Coturnix japonica: one gene and its partner. The protein of the gene in region 1 purifies or fractionates together with the protein of each later gene. This does not show direct contact. Links are inferred from orthologs where the notes say so. Each region holds a gene or a part of one and is shown on either strand. Other genes may lie near its edges.

What was found.
Region 2: the proteins of STK11 (region 1) and COPS3 purify together in Homo sapiens (affinity purification with mass spectrometry; 5 studies listed by BioGRID and IntAct, with this or other methods). This does not show direct contact. The link is inferred for Coturnix japonica from reciprocal best matches to the Homo sapiens genes STK11 and COPS3.

What each region holds. Positions count from the first base shown.
Region 1 is NC_029543.1:2,093,880-2,097,692, reverse strand, and holds part of STK11 (serine/threonine-protein kinase STK11), read right to left. Parts: intron 2,026-3,813; coding exon 1,817-2,025; 3' UTR 1,792-1,816; intron 731-1,791; 3' UTR 1-730. UniProt on the Homo sapiens protein: Tumor suppressor serine/threonine-protein kinase that controls the activity of AMP-activated protein kinase (AMPK) family members, thereby playing a role in various processes such as cell metabolism, cell polarity, apoptosis and DNA damage response.
Region 2 is NC_029529.1:4,775,341-4,779,153, reverse strand, and holds part of COPS3 (COP9 signalosome complex subunit 3), read left to right. Parts: intron 1-693; coding exon 694-806; intron 807-911; coding exon 912-961; intron 962-1,711; exon of another isoform or gene 1,712-1,779; coding exon 1,780-1,872; intron 1,873-2,590; coding exon 2,591-2,770; intron 2,771-3,813. UniProt on the Homo sapiens protein: Component of the COP9 signalosome complex (CSN), a complex involved in various cellular and developmental processes.

The DNA of each region.
Region 1 (3,813 bases):
ACAAAAAAAGAGAAAAAATAAGGAACAACAACAAAAAAAAGAAGACTCTGAAGGCCCCCATTCCCTTTTCTGAGCCCTTTTACAGCATGCAGGGTGAATGGAGCTTTGATTTGTTGTAATACCTTGGGTCGGGTTTTGGTTTTGGTTGTTGTTTTTTTTCCCTCAATCTGGGTTTGGATTTGAAACACCTCACGATGTGTAGGAAATATGTCGAAATATACCTCGAAAAAGATCAACGGAACGAAACCAACAACAACAACAAACGACAACAACCCTCCCCCCCCCAAAATAAAAGAGAAATAAAAGAGGAAAATATAGAACAGTAGTCTAAAACATAAAGTGCACGGCAATGGCTTCGCACGACTTCTACACAGCCAGGGTAAAGGGGGGGGGGGGGGGGGGGGGGGGAGCCCCCCCCCCCCCCCCCAGTTCCGCTCATCCCACCCTTCCATTGTGAAATTAAAAAGAGAATCAGTGTCTTGATTGGCAAAGAGTGATGGGGAGGGGGGGGGTGCCCCTTTCCCCCCCCCCCCTTCCCTCCCAAGTCGGGGTCCTCCATCCCAGGTGGGCGGTGGGGGCTCCCCGCAGCGCTGGGCTCTGGGTGCTGTCCATAGGGGGGGCAGGGAGGGTTCCTTGGTGGGGGTCTTCAGGCTGTGAGCACAGACTGGACCCCCCCCACCCCATCCAGCCCCCAGGAGGTGCTGAGCAGGGGGGGGAGGATGCTGGGACACTGTGGGAGAATGGGAGAGAAAGGGTCAGGATGGCCCGGTGTGCCCCACAGCCTGCTGAACCCAAAGGGAAAACACAGCCCACAGACCTCATTCACAGCTGCTTTCTGCTCTTGAGAGGTTTTATGGCACCGACTGGAGGGCAGGGTTGGAAGCAGGCAGCATCCAGCCTGGCAGCCCCCACCCCATATAAACAGGAGCCCCAGCCACAATGGGAACCCCCCCCTTTAGGCAGAGGGCTGAGCCCCAAGCAAGCAGCTGTGGGGCAGAGAGCAGCTGTGGGGCAGAGAGAGCAGCTCCCAGGGGAGCCCTGAGCACAGGCATCCATCCGCTGGCAGCACAGTGCCTCCCCACACAGGTGACTCACTCCTATCCATGAATTAAAGATTAAAGCCGAGTGCGGGTCTGACAGCTGCAGGGGGAGGAATGGGCTTTTATTTCTGGCTTTTTTTTTTTCTCCTTTTCACACCACAAAGCTGGTCGTGATCCAAATAGATAACACAAGCTTCAGCCCCACGGAGAGCCGGTGACGAGAGTGAGCGTGAGGCCGGGGGTGGATGAGCACTGAGAGTTGACTCATCGCTGCCTCATTTATGAATGAGGGGTGGAAAGGAAAGGATGGGGATGCGGAGGGAGCCGGAGGGATGAAGGGGGGGGGGAGCAGGGAGGGCTCAGCATCCCTGAGCATCACAGCAAGATATAGGGGGGGTCTGAGCAAAGCTATAGCCAGCACAGTCCTGCAGCTGCCCATGGGACAGGGGAGACCCCTGGAGCATCCCCAGGAGAGCTCTGCTGTCACCTCCATGCATCACAGCTTTGCTCCCTGCCTGCAGGAGGGCGGCAATGCTGCCGAGTGGTGGAGAATGGGGGTCCCAGTGCTAGAGGGGGGGGGTCTAAAAGCAGCATGGAGGGTGGAAACAGAGCAGAGCTACATGCAGGAGCACAGCAGGACCCCCATTGGCATAGGGGGGGGCTCTGCACCACCCCACACTGCAGAGCACCAGGCAGTGATGCTGGCAGCACAGAGAGGGCTCACCCCCTGAGCCCCCATCCCGACCCATACCTGTGCAGAGCGTGGTGCTCCCGGATCACTGCTGCTTGCAGGTGGAGAGCTTGCGGATCTTGCTGCTGGCCGAGCAGGCCTTGCGTGAGGGGTTGGAGGAGGCGCTGGCCCTGCGCTCCGCCTTGGATTTGGTGCTCAGCTGTCCCGGCTCCGTCCCGTTCATGCAGATGGCCTTGGGCAGCCCCCGGCCTCGGCTCTGCCCGTTCTGCCCTGCCTCCTCCTCAGGCACCTGTCCTGCAAGGGAAGGAAACGTGAGGCCATGGCAGCGTCCTCCCTGCATGGAGCACCACGGCCACCCTGTGCTCTGCATCACTCAGAACTGAGAAGAAGGAAACTGAAGGCAAAGGGTGAGCAGGTTTCACACTGCTCCACCTGCGGGAAGGGCACTGTCCTGCTGCAGGGATCAGGCACAGCAAGGGACACGCAGATGGGGTCGGTTTGCTCCACTTGCCCCATAACAGCCCTCTCCATCTGCCCAGCTCAATGCAGTGACTCAGCACTGGGGGCACAGAGCCCCCAGGACAGGCATCCCTGTGCTGTGCAGCTGGTGCAGGCTCTGGTCCTGTTCTGTCCCTGTACCTGGGGAGTGACAGAGGGTTTCACAACCCAGAGCTCCACTGCACTCCCATCACCCTGCAGCCCCATGGGGCTGATGGAAGGGTTCATCAGGTCCCCTGCTCCCCCACACTGGATCCAGCCACTGCAATTTCCTTCCACCGGGAACGTCACGCTCCAGAGCCCTTCAGTTATGACTCAGAGGTTTGAGTGGAAGCGAGAGCTGTAAGATGATTATGTATAATTTTCTTTAAAGGATGCTCCATCCTTTCTCCTCCAAGGCCGAACACAACGTCAGCTCCATGCGCCAGTGCTCACCCCATGACATGGGGCAGAGGGGGCACTGGGAGGGGCTGGGGGTCCCCTCTACCTGCTGTGTACCCCCAGGCTCTGCTCCTTCCTGCTTCCCATGGGGCAGCATCCCAAAGTGCATCCTCCTCCAGGTGTGGAAATCATTCAGAAACAAGAAGGGACAACACTGAGGTCTCTTGATTCAGAGTCATCTTCAGCCCCAAGAAGCTGTAGGGATCCAATGGACCAGCCCAGCACCCACATGAAGCAGCACTGGCACAGCCCCACAGTGCCAAGTAGGGGCTGGGTGCTGCAGCAGGAGACCCCAGCACCCACAATCAAAGCACAGCTGAGCACTTGTCCTTCCCCTCCCCTGGGCAGGCTCTGACCAAAGCCATGAACATTTCGGACTGGGGAGGGGGGAAACAATCCCACCATCTTTTGTGTGCCCATCTATCTCCTCCTCCCAGCAAAAAAAAGAACAATCCCGGGAGGCCGTTCTGGATGCTGAGGATGGAGGGCGAGCTGCAGGGCTAATTTTACCTCCTTCACCACTGACAGTTGCTGACGTTCAAATTAATGAAAATAACAATTCAGCATAGGATGAAATCTTGGCAACTGCCTGCCCCCGCGGAAGCCGTGGCCAGCGCTGCGTGCGCGAGAAGCCACATCCTACCGACCATCATCAGCCCATGGGCTAAAAATAAGAGGAGAGGAGGGCTGAGAGGTGGTGAGCACGCGCATCCCTGCTGCCTCTCACGGCTCTTAATGGCTCCGTCCTGCTCATTCAGGCACAGAAAAGCTTCCAAAATAAAACCGTGGAGAGCTTTTGAATCACTGTCAGACGAGCACACGGTGAGACACCTCCCCAATAGCAGGGTTTGTTTTGCAGCCTTAGAGTTATTGCTGAGGGGGGGGACACAAAGCTGAGACCCCCACACAGCTGCCATGGGGGGAGCAGAGCACCCGAATACAAACATAGCACAATAGCAACGAGTTGCTCCCAGCACTGCTGAGATGCTTAACACCGACTGAACCGGGGGGCACGTCATGTTTAAGGCTGTGCAGAGCTGCATAAATCTTTAAAGAGCCCTTTTAAGAATAACGGCATGTTCTCAGAGCCCCTTCTTCCTCTGAACGTAAGATTTAATGAGGTTCCCTCCTCCCCTCCCCACC
Region 2 (3,813 bases), on another chromosome or scaffold:
ACAGAAAAAAAATGTGGAGCCTGTAAAATATCATCACTTCCAAATGGTGATTTTTTTCCTTAAGGCTGTATCTGTTTCTCGTTTATGCCTGTATGAGTGTTTTTACCTTCAGCAAAAAAGTACAGGACTTCTAATTGGCAGGACATGAGTGAGCCAAACTGTAAGCATGAAGCCACGTGCAGAGTTCTCATTGCACACAGGTAGTGTAATCACAACTCATGGGAGAAGCACCGTGGAACTCTACAGCTTGTAGGGTGCTGAGGAACCAGCAGGGATGGAGAGAAAGTGAAAGTGAAGAGAAAGAGCTCTTAGCAAGACATAGAAGTCTAATCAAGTAATAGTTGATAAATCTGTGGTACATTCAAGTGGGTGTCTGGAGAAGTTATGTGGTTTAGTTTAAAAACTTCACTGTTAGATATTTATTGTGATTATAATTGTAGCAGGTAAAGAGGTCTTTGTTCATAGCTAGTTCCTACCTAGTTTTTAATTAGATTCATAGTAGAACTATGCATTGAGAGTGTACTTCCAAGTGCTGTGCAGCTCTTGGGGAAATCATATGCCATCTGTCGTGACCACTTTGGCGCTTCTTGCAAGCAGTTACCTGTATCTGCAGAGACTGAAGATAAAACATTTTGGTTTTCTTTAATTAATCTCTGAATGTTATGTGTTAAACTTTTTTTGGTCTTGTTTTAGGTTTGTGAAGTTTTCTATGCCCAGCATCCCCGATTTCGAAACATTATTCTCACAAGTGCAGCTCTTCATCAGTACTTGTAATGGGGAACACATTAGATATGCAACAGACACTTGTAAGTTAATTCAGCTTGTTATAGAAAAATCTTTTTATATATTGATAATAGGTTGGTATTATTGGTAGTCTTGTTTTACTGAATTCTTTTGTTTTCTCTGTTTAGTTGCTGGCCTGTGCCACCAGTTAACAAATGCTCTTGTGGAGAGAAAACAGGTGAGCAAATATCATCTAATACAAATACGGAGCCTACAAAGCTATGTTCTTAAAAAGGACATTACTTGCTTCATAAAGGTTTACTGCTAACTTCATGTAAACTATTTTTGTGTGACTCCTTATGTAAGTTAAGTCTACTGAGCAGTAATGAACTTAAAAGACGATTTTAAAACCTCTTTAAAGAAAATATAAGTTAAAATGTGGGGGGAAGTTAGCTAAAAACATGCTCTCACACCATGAAATCAGGTGTACCAGGGTTGTTATTCAGATGGTGTGTGTGCATGAGTAGAGGGGAGCTGCAAAAACTAATAGAGCCAATGAGTCAGAGAGATGTTTCAGCGTTCTTCTCACCAATCTTACACAATGTTCTTAATGAAATGCCTTAAAGTGTAGGGGACATTTCTTTTTAGGGGTTAGGTGTTGAAAATGTCTTGGAAAAGTAAGTTAAATCTGGCTTGAATGAAGAGATCAAATCTGGACTAAGTGAAGTGGGAGATTTGCCTTTATTTGCTAGGAATTTAGATGGACTCATGGAGTCAATAAAAGGTTTACTCAGAACAGTTTACTGTTTTCCTGGTGAACTTGTCTTTGTGGAGCAGAATTGGTGACCTTGTTTAGTTGATCAGGAGAAGTTACATACCATGGGCTTATTGTGTTTTCTGAGTGACTGCAATGTCCTACAAAAAGGGAACCACAAGTTAATCATTACTTAACGGAACCTGTCAATTAGTGTTATTTTTCATTTGTAAGTGTCAACATAAGATCCAATGTGCTGCCATCTATGAGAAATTATCTGAAAGAGATGTAATTTCTGACAGCCCCTTCGAGGAATTAGCATTCTCAGACAAGCCATAGACAAGATGCAGATGAACACAAACCAGCTGACCTCAATACATGCAGATCTCTGCCAGGTAAGAGGAACACGGGGCTTTTTTCTGAGGGTGAAAGCTTGTAGAGTACCTGTAGCTGTTTGATAAATGCATGTTCATGTATTGCAGTGTAAAGAAAGCTTTAGGTTTTGTGATGTTGGTTTTTTTAATTCTTTTCCAGTAGTCTGTTATGTGGTATACTGAAATAAAACTCCCTTCTCTTCCTATTAAATGTTCAGCACTTGTCTCTAGATTTTAGTTTTGTTCATGACTTCTGAAAGTCCTTCTCTATGGGCTGGAAGTTGTGCACAGCTTCTCTTAGACAGTGTAAGTGTACTGGCCAAATACTGTTTGCTCGAGTCTGACAAAAGGCATGTTTGTCTCTGTGTCTTTGGCCTGGATTTGCACTCCTGTCTCATTCTTGGCTCCTGGGACTTAGAATTGGATGAGAATGTTGAGTGCAATATTTTGTGCTGCCAGCACGGTAGTTTGGAAGGCCTGGAGTTTCAGGCTGCTTTGTCGCTTAGTCTGATTTCTTTAGGATTCACATAATTTCCAGAAGTTTACAATCTGTTTTTTTTCCAAATACCACAATACGATGTATAATCCATGTTATGCCTCTACTGTGACATACATACTGTTTCTTTAACTCTCAGAGGAGTGAGGCATACTAAATACTACTACATGAATTGAATTTCAATGTCATCTTTGTGGGTATTTGAAATAGCTAATTTAAGAAACTTGATTTGTTTTCTTGTAGCTCTGTTTGTTAGCAAAATGCTTTAAACCTGCCCTCCCATATCTAGATGTGGACATGATGGATATTTGTAAAGAAAATGGGGCATACGATGCAAAGCACTTTTTATGTTATTACTACTATGGTGGGATGATATACACTGGGCTAAAGAACTTTGAAAGAGCACTCTACTTCTACGAACAGGTAACTTTAAAACTGATCAGCCTCAATTGTGGTGCATTGAAAAGCAAAAATGGCACATATAATGCCACTGGGATAATGAGTCATCTCTGAATTGCCACGAAGGACAGAATAGAAAGCTGTGTACCTTGTATAAAATACAAACAGTCTGATTATTTTTGTTCTTAACCTTTAGGATGCAGTTCTATTAATAGACCTGTACTTCTGTCCATCATTCACGTTGGATTTGCTTTTCTATCTGTGTGCATTGTAACTGTGTATAAAACCGATTGGGGTTCATTTTTATTTATCAGCTGTTTCATAAGGAGTATAGACTAAATGGTGCTCTTGGTGTACAGAGTGAAGTAACAAACTGAATTTAGAAGTGTTATCTTCTTAGAAAGTCACAGCCAAGCAACTAATGCACCATAAAGCTATGCAACTCAAAGGTTGATGTTAAATTTATCTCACTATAAATATTTTCAAGTGCCCGCTTATTACTGCTCGCCTAGAAACAGGCTGGTACTCAGAACTGTGTCTTTTCAAAGAGCACGATGGCTTTGCTTCTCAGCTTTTCTAATTTTTTGATGGAAGTTACAGTTCGTGCCTGTTATAATAAGGATTGTTTTATTTCTTCTTTGAAAGAAGAGAGAATGGCAAAATTCAAGGAACTCAGTGAGGAAAAACTTTGTCAAATGTGCAAAATAAACTAGTGCAGCATTTGTTTATAAGGCCAGGTAGGCTGTTGAGTAGCAATATTGGGGTGAACTAAAATTGCTGCTTACTGTTCTGCAAGCCTCTTCCATCATGGTTAAATAAGAGGTTGCATGATATCTCTTATGAAATCCTTGTAAGGATGTGTGCAAATTCAGCTTTCATGGGATCATTCCTTGTTACTAGTAGCCACTGGTGATTTACAGTCCAATGTTAGATACATATAAAACAAAGAAATTTTGCTTTGATCTTAACAGGGCTTTTTAAGTTAGGCATTACTGTAATATATGACGTTTTGAGTACTTCATATAGAACTTTAGTTGTTTGTTTTTTTAGTATGTTTTAGATAGTTA